2 linked regions of the Schizosaccharomyces pombe genome follow. The protein of the gene in region 1 interacts with the protein of each later gene in a pairwise test. Each region holds a gene or a part of one and is shown on either strand. Other genes may lie near its edges.

The links.
Region 2: the proteins of adh4 (region 1) and sam1 interact in a two-hybrid assay, tested with the Schizosaccharomyces pombe proteins (one large-scale study listed by BioGRID).

What each region holds. Positions count from the first base shown.
Region 1 is NC_003424.3:155,608-159,788, reverse strand, and holds adh4 (alcohol dehydrogenase Adh4), read left to right. Parts: upstream 1-1,856; 5' UTR 1,857-2,101; coding exon 2,102-3,241; 3' UTR 3,242-3,359; downstream 3,360-4,181. Other genes in the region: SPOM_SPAC5H10.07 (uncharacterized protein), read right to left, coding at 317-586. UniProt on the Schizosaccharomyces pombe protein: Involved in ethanol oxidation in mitochondria.
Region 2 is NC_003423.3:4,161,490-4,165,958, reverse strand, and holds sam1 (S-adenosylmethionine synthetase), read left to right. Parts: upstream 1-2,100; 5' UTR 2,101-2,282; coding exon 2,283-3,431; 3' UTR 3,432-3,890; downstream 3,891-4,469. Other genes in the region: Fe-sulfur ATPase Rli1, read right to left, coding at 1-806, 1,244-1,300. UniProt on the Schizosaccharomyces pombe protein: Catalyzes the formation of S-adenosylmethionine from methionine and ATP. The reaction comprises two steps that are both catalyzed by the same enzyme: formation of S-adenosylmethionine (AdoMet) and triphosphate, and subsequent hydrolysis of the triphosphate.

The sequences.
Region 1 (4,181 bases):
CCTATACAATCGGGCGATTAACAGATATTTAGGAGAATGGGGTTTAAAAAGTCAATAGATTTTTAAATACTTCATCCAATGGTGTTTGCTCTTAAAGGAGAATGATGTATTGGTAAATAACACAAAAACGAACATTTGTGAGATGAATTTTGACCTTATGAAACAATCAAATCCAAGTTTGACCATTTCCATCATTTGCTACTTTCTTTGATTTTAATTACTACTTGGGTTATGGGGGTTCGATTACCAAAAAAAAAGGTACATTTGATCATGTTGATTACCTGCAATCATGTTTCCTTTTTGACAAAAAAAAAATTTAAAAATTGATTACCTCTATATATTTGCCAAAACCTTCGTAGGCTATTATTTCTTCAATGAATGACTTTCTAAATTTACAGTCAAGGTTTTCGATGCACCCATTATAACTGGTGCTTTCCATTGAACTAACCTTCCAGATTGGCCCTTTTGTCAAAACTATTAAAAAACTAATATTCCGTATTTTTCCTTTCTCTCTTTTTTCCTTCTTTTCAAGTGGGGCTGGAAAATCCGGCCCACAATACAATTTGTATGAAGTTAAGACTGTCATGCTGTTTTACTTTCGATATGATCGAGCTTGTTAATTTACAAGTTCTTAATAAAACGTTGTGTTTCTTTTACTTGACGATAAACTTATTTAGGATTGCTTAGACATACTTCCCCTTTGTTCGATCATCATGAAAAAAGGCCCATGTAATTATTCCCAAGTGTTTTCATATATAAAAAAGTTTTAATTTTTTTTTAAAGGGCATTGAGTCAAAGAGAAATTTTTAATTTTTAGTGAAATAGTATAAAATCCCTTTAAAGATGTCGCTTTCAAACCAATTCAGAAACTTTTGTATTCATCCCAACACTTCAACTAAGCTCTGATGCTCCTCTTACAAACAATAACATAAATTTTTACAGCGCCGCAAATGCCAAACAATGTGTGCTAAAAATTCCGGAGGCACGTTGCCAGCAGTCATTCTCATTCCGATTTTACGATAAGCAAAAAAATTGTCCAGAAGAACCGGAAGATGAACCAGCGATAATGCGATTGCTTTGACCGTATATTCCCCTTGGAGACAGAGCCGCAGTGATCCACATAAACATGGTAAATCCGTGGATCTTCTAGAAGATCTTGAGGTTTTACTGCCAATCAGCATCGACGACGATCACGTCAAATAACGAAAAAAACCCTTTTTGAGAATTGTTCCAACGTTAAGGTAACGCACTTTTTGGCATTTGGATGGCATGCATGCCAAAATCACAAAGTTTGCAGTAATTCGGGTTGCTTTGTTTTGGAAAAGTTCTCCCAGGAATCTAAAAATGTTACATATGTCTTACGACGAACTTACTGCCTATCAACTTGAGGGTAAAAGAAACGGAATGTGACCATTCATATTGCTTGGAATTGTTACTCAGACAATTGTATATAATGGCGCTCTTCATACTCAAGACGCTTCAGAATATTCCAATTCCTTTTGGGTAGAGAAATATTTGATCTTCTACTTTTTGGTAAGTAAAATTTATGATAATGGCGGAAAGAATGACAGTTTGGAGGTGATTTGATGTCGTTTGGAAAAGAGTTTTGGTGACAAGCAATTTTGTTTTGAAAATCATTTGAAGATCTTTTAATTCCTTAGCATTTATTTGACGTTGGAGTTGGCTGCAGATCTATTTAGCGAAATTGTTGTAAAAAGATCGATGTTCGATAAGTGTTCGTTAAGCGAGATAAGGAGTGGAAGTATCGAAATTTTAGACACTAATTGATTACACATTGATATTGGAGAAATTTTCGTACACTACTTAAGGCTCATTCCCCCTTGACTTTTTTGACCGATTGTTACATATTTCTTTTCCGTTTGGCTAATTATTTATTTTTTTTCATACTTTGTATATTATTGATTCTAAAAAATATCGGAGGTTAAGCTTTAGATGCGATTTTCTTTTTAACATGTCCATTCTTCGTTCTCCATTTCGTTTAATTCGATCGCCTGCTCGATTCTTTCCGTCACTCTTTCATTCCTCTTGTAATCAATCTTTTACTAATGGCTTAAAGCATCAATCAACCTCTTCGAAAGCCATGCCTGTTAGCGCATTCTACATACCTTCTTTCAACCTTTTCGGTAAAGGTTGTCTTGCTGAAGCCGCCAAGCAAATTAAGATGAGCGGCTTCAAAAACACCTTAATTGTTACCGATCCTGGTATTATTAAGGTCGGTTTGTATGACAAAGTTAAGGCTCTGTTGGAAGAACAAAGCATCACTGTTCACCTTTACGATGGTGTTCAACCTAATCCCACCGTTGGAAATGTCAACCAAGGTCTCGAAATCGTTAAGAAGGAAAACTGTGATTCTATGGTATCAATTGGTGGTGGTTCTGCTCACGATTGTGCCAAAGGTATTGCTTTGTTAGCTACTAATGGCGGTAAAATTGCGGATTATGAAGGTGTTGATAAATCCTCCAAACCTCAACTTCCCTTGATTGCAATCAATACGACTGCAGGAACTGCTTCTGAAATGACTCGTTTCGCAATTATCACCGAAGAGACCCGTCATATTAAAATGGCTATTATCGATAAGCATACTATGCCTATCCTTTCCGTTAACGATCCTGAAACAATGTATGGATTACCTCCTTCCTTGACCGCTGCTACTGGTATGGACGCTTTGACTCATGCTGTTGAAGCTTACGTCTCTACTGCTGCTAATCCCATCACCGATGCTTGTGCTGTCAAATGCATCGAACTCGTTAATAAGTATTTGAAGCGTGCTGTCGACAACGGCAAGGACGAAGAGGCTAGAGACAATATGGCTTATGCCGAATTCCTTGGTGGTATGGCATTTAACAACGCATCTTTGGGTTATGTTCATGCTATGGCTCATCAACTTGGTGGTTTCTACGGTATTCCACATGGCGTCTGTAACGCTGTTCTTCTTGCCCATGTACAGAAATTTAATTCTAGGGATCCAAGAGCAAATGCTCGCCTTGGTGATATTGCTTTTCACTTGGGTTGTGAAGAGCATACTGCCGAAGCAGCTCTTGACCGCATCAGTCAACTTGTTCTTGAAGTTAAAATTCGTCCTCATCTAGTTGATCTAGGTGTCAAGGAAAAAGATTTTGATGTCTTGGTTGACCACGCTATGAAGGATGCTTGTGGTGCTACTAACCCTATTCAGCCTACACATGACGAGGTAAAGGCTATTTTCAAATCGGCTATGTAAATAGAACGTTATCTCGATACCTAGAACAAATTATGAGCTTTTACATTTCACTGGCTTGAATGTTCACTTCAACATATCCTAAAGCATTTTTTTTGGCTTGAACCTTTTTTAGATTTGGAAAATATGTAAACAACGGTTTAATATATCAAATTTTGGATTTTTTTTATTAATTATATAAGTGAGCCTTTTCTAGTAGACACGCACGTCGTTTAATGAGTCTTGTTTGTATAAAAGTAATCATGTCTATCTTTTTGCTTCCAACGTAGTTCCAAACAACTCGAGGCCTTTTGTGAAACCTGCCATGGTGTCCCCTTCAAAACTCGATGCTATAAAATTCAAGTGATTAAAGAACTTATTCTTTTTGGACAATTAGCTTATACTGAAGCTTAATAGATTTGTTCGCGGTAATTCTCTTATTGGAGGAAATCTTGCACTAATGATCTACCAAATTCTGAATAGAGAACCAATTATTAGGTTCTGATGATCTTTTGCTAATACCTTACAAAGATAACATAATGAAACTAATGGATCAGAGGAAGAATTAGATCTTATTCCCAATTGCACTTGCAAATCCCAATAGAAGGGGAGACATGGATACCTAGTTAGAAACTAAACGCTTCTACATATTTCATAGTAAAAAACTTTTGGTCAGTAACTAACTTTGAAATACAATAGCTACTATAAGTGTTAATGTAAAATATATTTTGACTTCTATTAAAAGACCGCTGTTTAAAAATCACATGCAAAACCTCATTTCAATTTTACTCTTAGAAATTTGCCGATATTTTTCATTTAAAAGATTTAATGACACGATGGAAATGCACATTGTTTTAAGCTGCAACACAGAAACCGGCCCACGGTATAGTGAAAATGCATGAATATTATTAGTTTTTACAAATGACTAAATCCATTAGATGATTTGACGATTACCTACATTTCT
Region 2 (4,469 bases), on another chromosome or scaffold:
AAATCGGAGAGATAATCAAGGACGGAAAGATCGTGTTCAACAACAATCACATAGTTGGTAGTAGCCAACAAGCTGCGGATTACACGACCAGCTTTGAGACGTTGTTTAATATCCAAATAAGACGAAGGCTCGTCAAACATGTAAACGTCAGCTTTTTGAGTGGCTACGGCAGCAATAGCAAATCGTTGAAGCTCACCACCAGAAAGATGGCCAACCTCACGATTTAAAAGATTTTGAAGATCGGTGTGATCCATAACTTCTTCAAAATTATTGTTGTTTGCACGAGCTTTAATTAAACCAGATACAGTTTTGTCACCAGTTTTAATCGCCCGTGGGATATGATCAACGTATTGAGGTTTGATAAGAGCCTTAATGTTATCTTCAACAACTTTGGTGAAAAAGTTTTGAAGTTCACTACCACGGAAGTATTTGACAACTTCAGCCCAGTCAGGAGGATTATCATAACGACCTAAATTAGGCTTCATTTTTCCGGATAGGATCTTTAACGCAGTAGACTTTCCAATACCGTTAGTACCAACTAAGCCCAAAACTTGACCAGGACGAGGAGTAGGCAAACGATGAAGCTTGAAAGAATTAGCAGAGTAACGATGGGTTACTTCACTTTCCAAGTTAGTGGGCAAATTAATAATGTTGATAGCTCCGAATGGACATTTTTTGACACAGATACCACAACCAATACATAATGTTTCACTAATAAATGCAATGCGATCGGTAGGATTAACTTCAATACACAATTTACCGGTGCGCACGACAGGGCAAGACCGGCGGCATTCTTGCCGACATTTCTAAAATATTGGTGAGCAAACTAATAAAAACCAAACATTCTAAAACCAGAAGCATTAAAAGCAAAGGAAAGTTTCGTAAGCAAGCAATAAAACGTATTTTAACGTGACACAGACCACTTTGAAAGTTTATTTAAATTTTCGGTCCTTTACCTTACAAGAACCTTTAGATTCGTTTAACCAACATATGGTGACAGCCAAGCCAAGCAAAAATTTACTACTAGTCCGAAAGTGCTTGGCAGATCGTAACAGGATCAAAAAATCTGAACAGAGGTACAATCAGGGCAGTTAAAATATGTTTTAATACTTGAACAAACAAAATTTGACTCAACTCTTTTCGTGGAAAACTTTGTGCACACACAAAAAAGCTCCAGTCATCCACAACGAGTAGACTATAACCTTCTACTAATAAAGCTCCTTTAATTTTTTTATTTTCTTACCTTTGGTCTACACTTATCCTCACTAACAATGGCGATTCTAGTAAGACTTTCGCTCATGGTGTTGAGTAGGGTGCAGTTGGCAAAGGACAACTTAAGGTGCGCCCAATTTTTTGCTTGTACTACCAGTCAACCTACTACAGTTTATAAAAATGCTACATTACATTTCGAATAAAATAAATAAAAAAGATAAATTCAAGTTTCTGAGACTGTAGAAAGATGTATTTTCTTAAATCGTCATTACGAAAATTTTTTATTGCCAATACGGACCTAGCGCTAAGTCATTGCCCATTTAATTGCAGACCAAATAATTGGTCAAAGATATGAAAGTTTGGAAGAGCCAGTTTTTGCAATTAAAAAACATAAGAATGAAGAAAAGAAAAACATCCTTCAATCTGCATAAATACTTATAAGATGCACATTGCATTAGCACACTCAATGCCCAAGTCCAGCCAATATCTAAGGGGACAGCTGGGTTTATTATATATTCAAGCTTCTTTAAATATCTACTAAATTTGCAGTATATAGTTCATCAATCGTAAACATAATTGTAAAAATAAATTGACAGTCAAAGACCCTTCTACTTTTACTTCAAATTGAAAATACAGCGATTTATCAAAATACGAAATACACTTTTTCGTGCTTTCCTTATTTTTTTAATTCATTACAGTCTAGCACTATAAAAAATTTAACATACTATTACCCCTGCTTTTAAATAACAATTGCGCAGAACAATTTGTCTCTACCAGATATCACTATTCTAAAATTGCTCAAGAAATTGAAAAAATGGCGCTACCATCCTGATAAGCAGTCACAACTATAATCAGCATATAAGGCTAAAGAATAACCTTACTTGCTTTACGAAACCTTGAGAGCTTCTTTTGACGAAATTCGCAAGCATATCTACATTTATTAGATTCATTGATAAAGAAGGGTTTTCATTGTTTCCTTATATTTGACGAAACTAATCGCTTGTCTTATTGTTCAATCTTTTCTAGTTTTTTGATTCCATATTTCCTTTACAAGTATCTTGGATTCCCCAATGGCTCAAACTTTTTTGTTTACTTCTGAATCTGTCGGTGAAGGTCATCCTGACAAAATTTGCGACCAAATATCTGACGCTATTTTGGATGCTTGTTTGAAGGATGACCCCTTTTCCAAGGTAGCATGTGAGACCGCTTCCAAAACCGGTATGGTAATGGTTTTTGGTGAAATTACTACTCGCTCACAAATTGACTACCAAAAGGTTATTCGTAATACCATTAAGAGCATCGGTTATGATGACTCTGAGAAGGGTTTCGATTACAAGACTTGCAACGTCCTCGTCGCCATCGAGCAACAATCTCCTGATATCGCTCAAGGTCTTCACTATGAGAAGGCTTTGGAAGAGCTCGGTGCTGGTGACCAGGGTATTATGTTTGGCTATGCAACTGATGAGACCCCCGAGAAGTTACCTTTGACCATTCTCCTTGCTCACAAACTCAATGCTGCCATGTCTGTCGCTCGTCGTGATGGATCTCTTCCATGGTTGCGTCCTGATACCAAGACTCAAGTCACTATTGAATATGAAGAGGAAAACGGTGCTGTCATCCCCCGTCGTGTAGATACCATCGTCGTCTCTGCTCAACACGCTGATAGCATCTCTACTGAAGACTTGCGTTCTGAAATTTTGGAGAAGATCATTAAGCCTACTGTCCCTGCTCATTTGTTAGATGAGAAGACTGTTTACCACATCCAACCTTCTGGTCGTTTCGTTGTTGGTGGTCCTCAAGGTGATGCTGGTCTCACTGGTCGTAAGATTATTGTTGATACCTATGGTGGCTGGGGTGCTCACGGTGGTGGTGCCTTCTCTGGTAAAGACTACTCCAAGGTCGATCGTTCTGCCGCCTATGCTGCTCGTTGGATTGCCAAATCTTTGGTTGCTGCTGGTTTGGCTCGCCGCTGCCTTGTCCAACTCTCCTATGCTATTGGTGTTGCTGAGCCCCTTTCTATTTTTGTCAATACTTACGGCACTTCTTCCAAGACATCTGCTGAGCTTGTTGAAATTATCCGCAAGAACTTTGACCTTCGTCCTGGTGTTTTGGTCAAAAGCCTTAAGCTTCAAACTCCTTTCTATCTTTCCACCGCTTCTTACGGTCACTTCACTGATCAATCCAAGCCTTGGGAACAACCTAAGGAGCTTAAGTTTTAGACAGATAGCTTAGTGCTATCATTAGCTTTTCTCGTTTGTTACGTTAAATACGATTAGAACATGTAACGAATTCTCAGTTGATGGCTTTATGGATACATGGTTTTCTTTAAAGATGAAAAGATTTTAGAGTTGTCTTTATTTATTCTATGTTTGCTTCTTTGTTCTTCAATTGTGAAAGATATATGGTTTTATATGTTAAGTCCTGGTTCAACGGATATGTATTTTTTTTTGGACTGGGTAGGCACAAATTCAACCTTTGTGTTTATGACTGCATCTCGAAGCGGAAAATACACTAAGCCAAAAATTTTTTTGCATACCGACATGTTAATGTTTCTTTTACCGATAGGCTTAGTGTTATTTGATGCTTTTCACGATAGTTATTATTTGCTGACTTTCAACTAGTTGGCCACTTTCGTTTAAATTGAGTTAATTATATGTTAATGGATTTGGTTCAAGACATAGTGTTTTAATCGTATAAGAACGAGTACTCATCTTCACTGTAGCTAATTTAGCTCGCTCACTTGTAACAAGGTGCATGCACACACAATACAAGCGTTTTGATTTTATTGTAATTTGTAATGAATTGAAAATGTCAAACTTAAAAAGGTAGACAATCATTCAGCTTTCAAGATGATCTGTGATAGTAAATGTCATTGGATTAAAACACATTGCTTGCTTACATTATTGTATTTATGGAATAAGCGATGGATTCTCAGCGATCCTAAAAGTACTTAGAATTATATTGGTCTTTTTTTTTGTAGTATAAATATTCAAAAATTCTTCACTAGATGTCTACGGCCATACCTAGGCGAAAACACCAGTTCCCGTCCGATCACTGCAGTTAAGCGTCTGAGGGCCTCGTTAGTACTATGGTTGGAGACAACATGGGAATCCGGGGTTTTGTAGGTTCCTTCTTTATTATTGCTGTTTGGTTTTTACCTTCTCTTTTGGAGCATATTTTGAGTACTGAATTGTGAATCTCAAATTCTATAGATGTTGCTACTCGTTGATTAAGCAATGCTAGAGCAGACTTTGAAC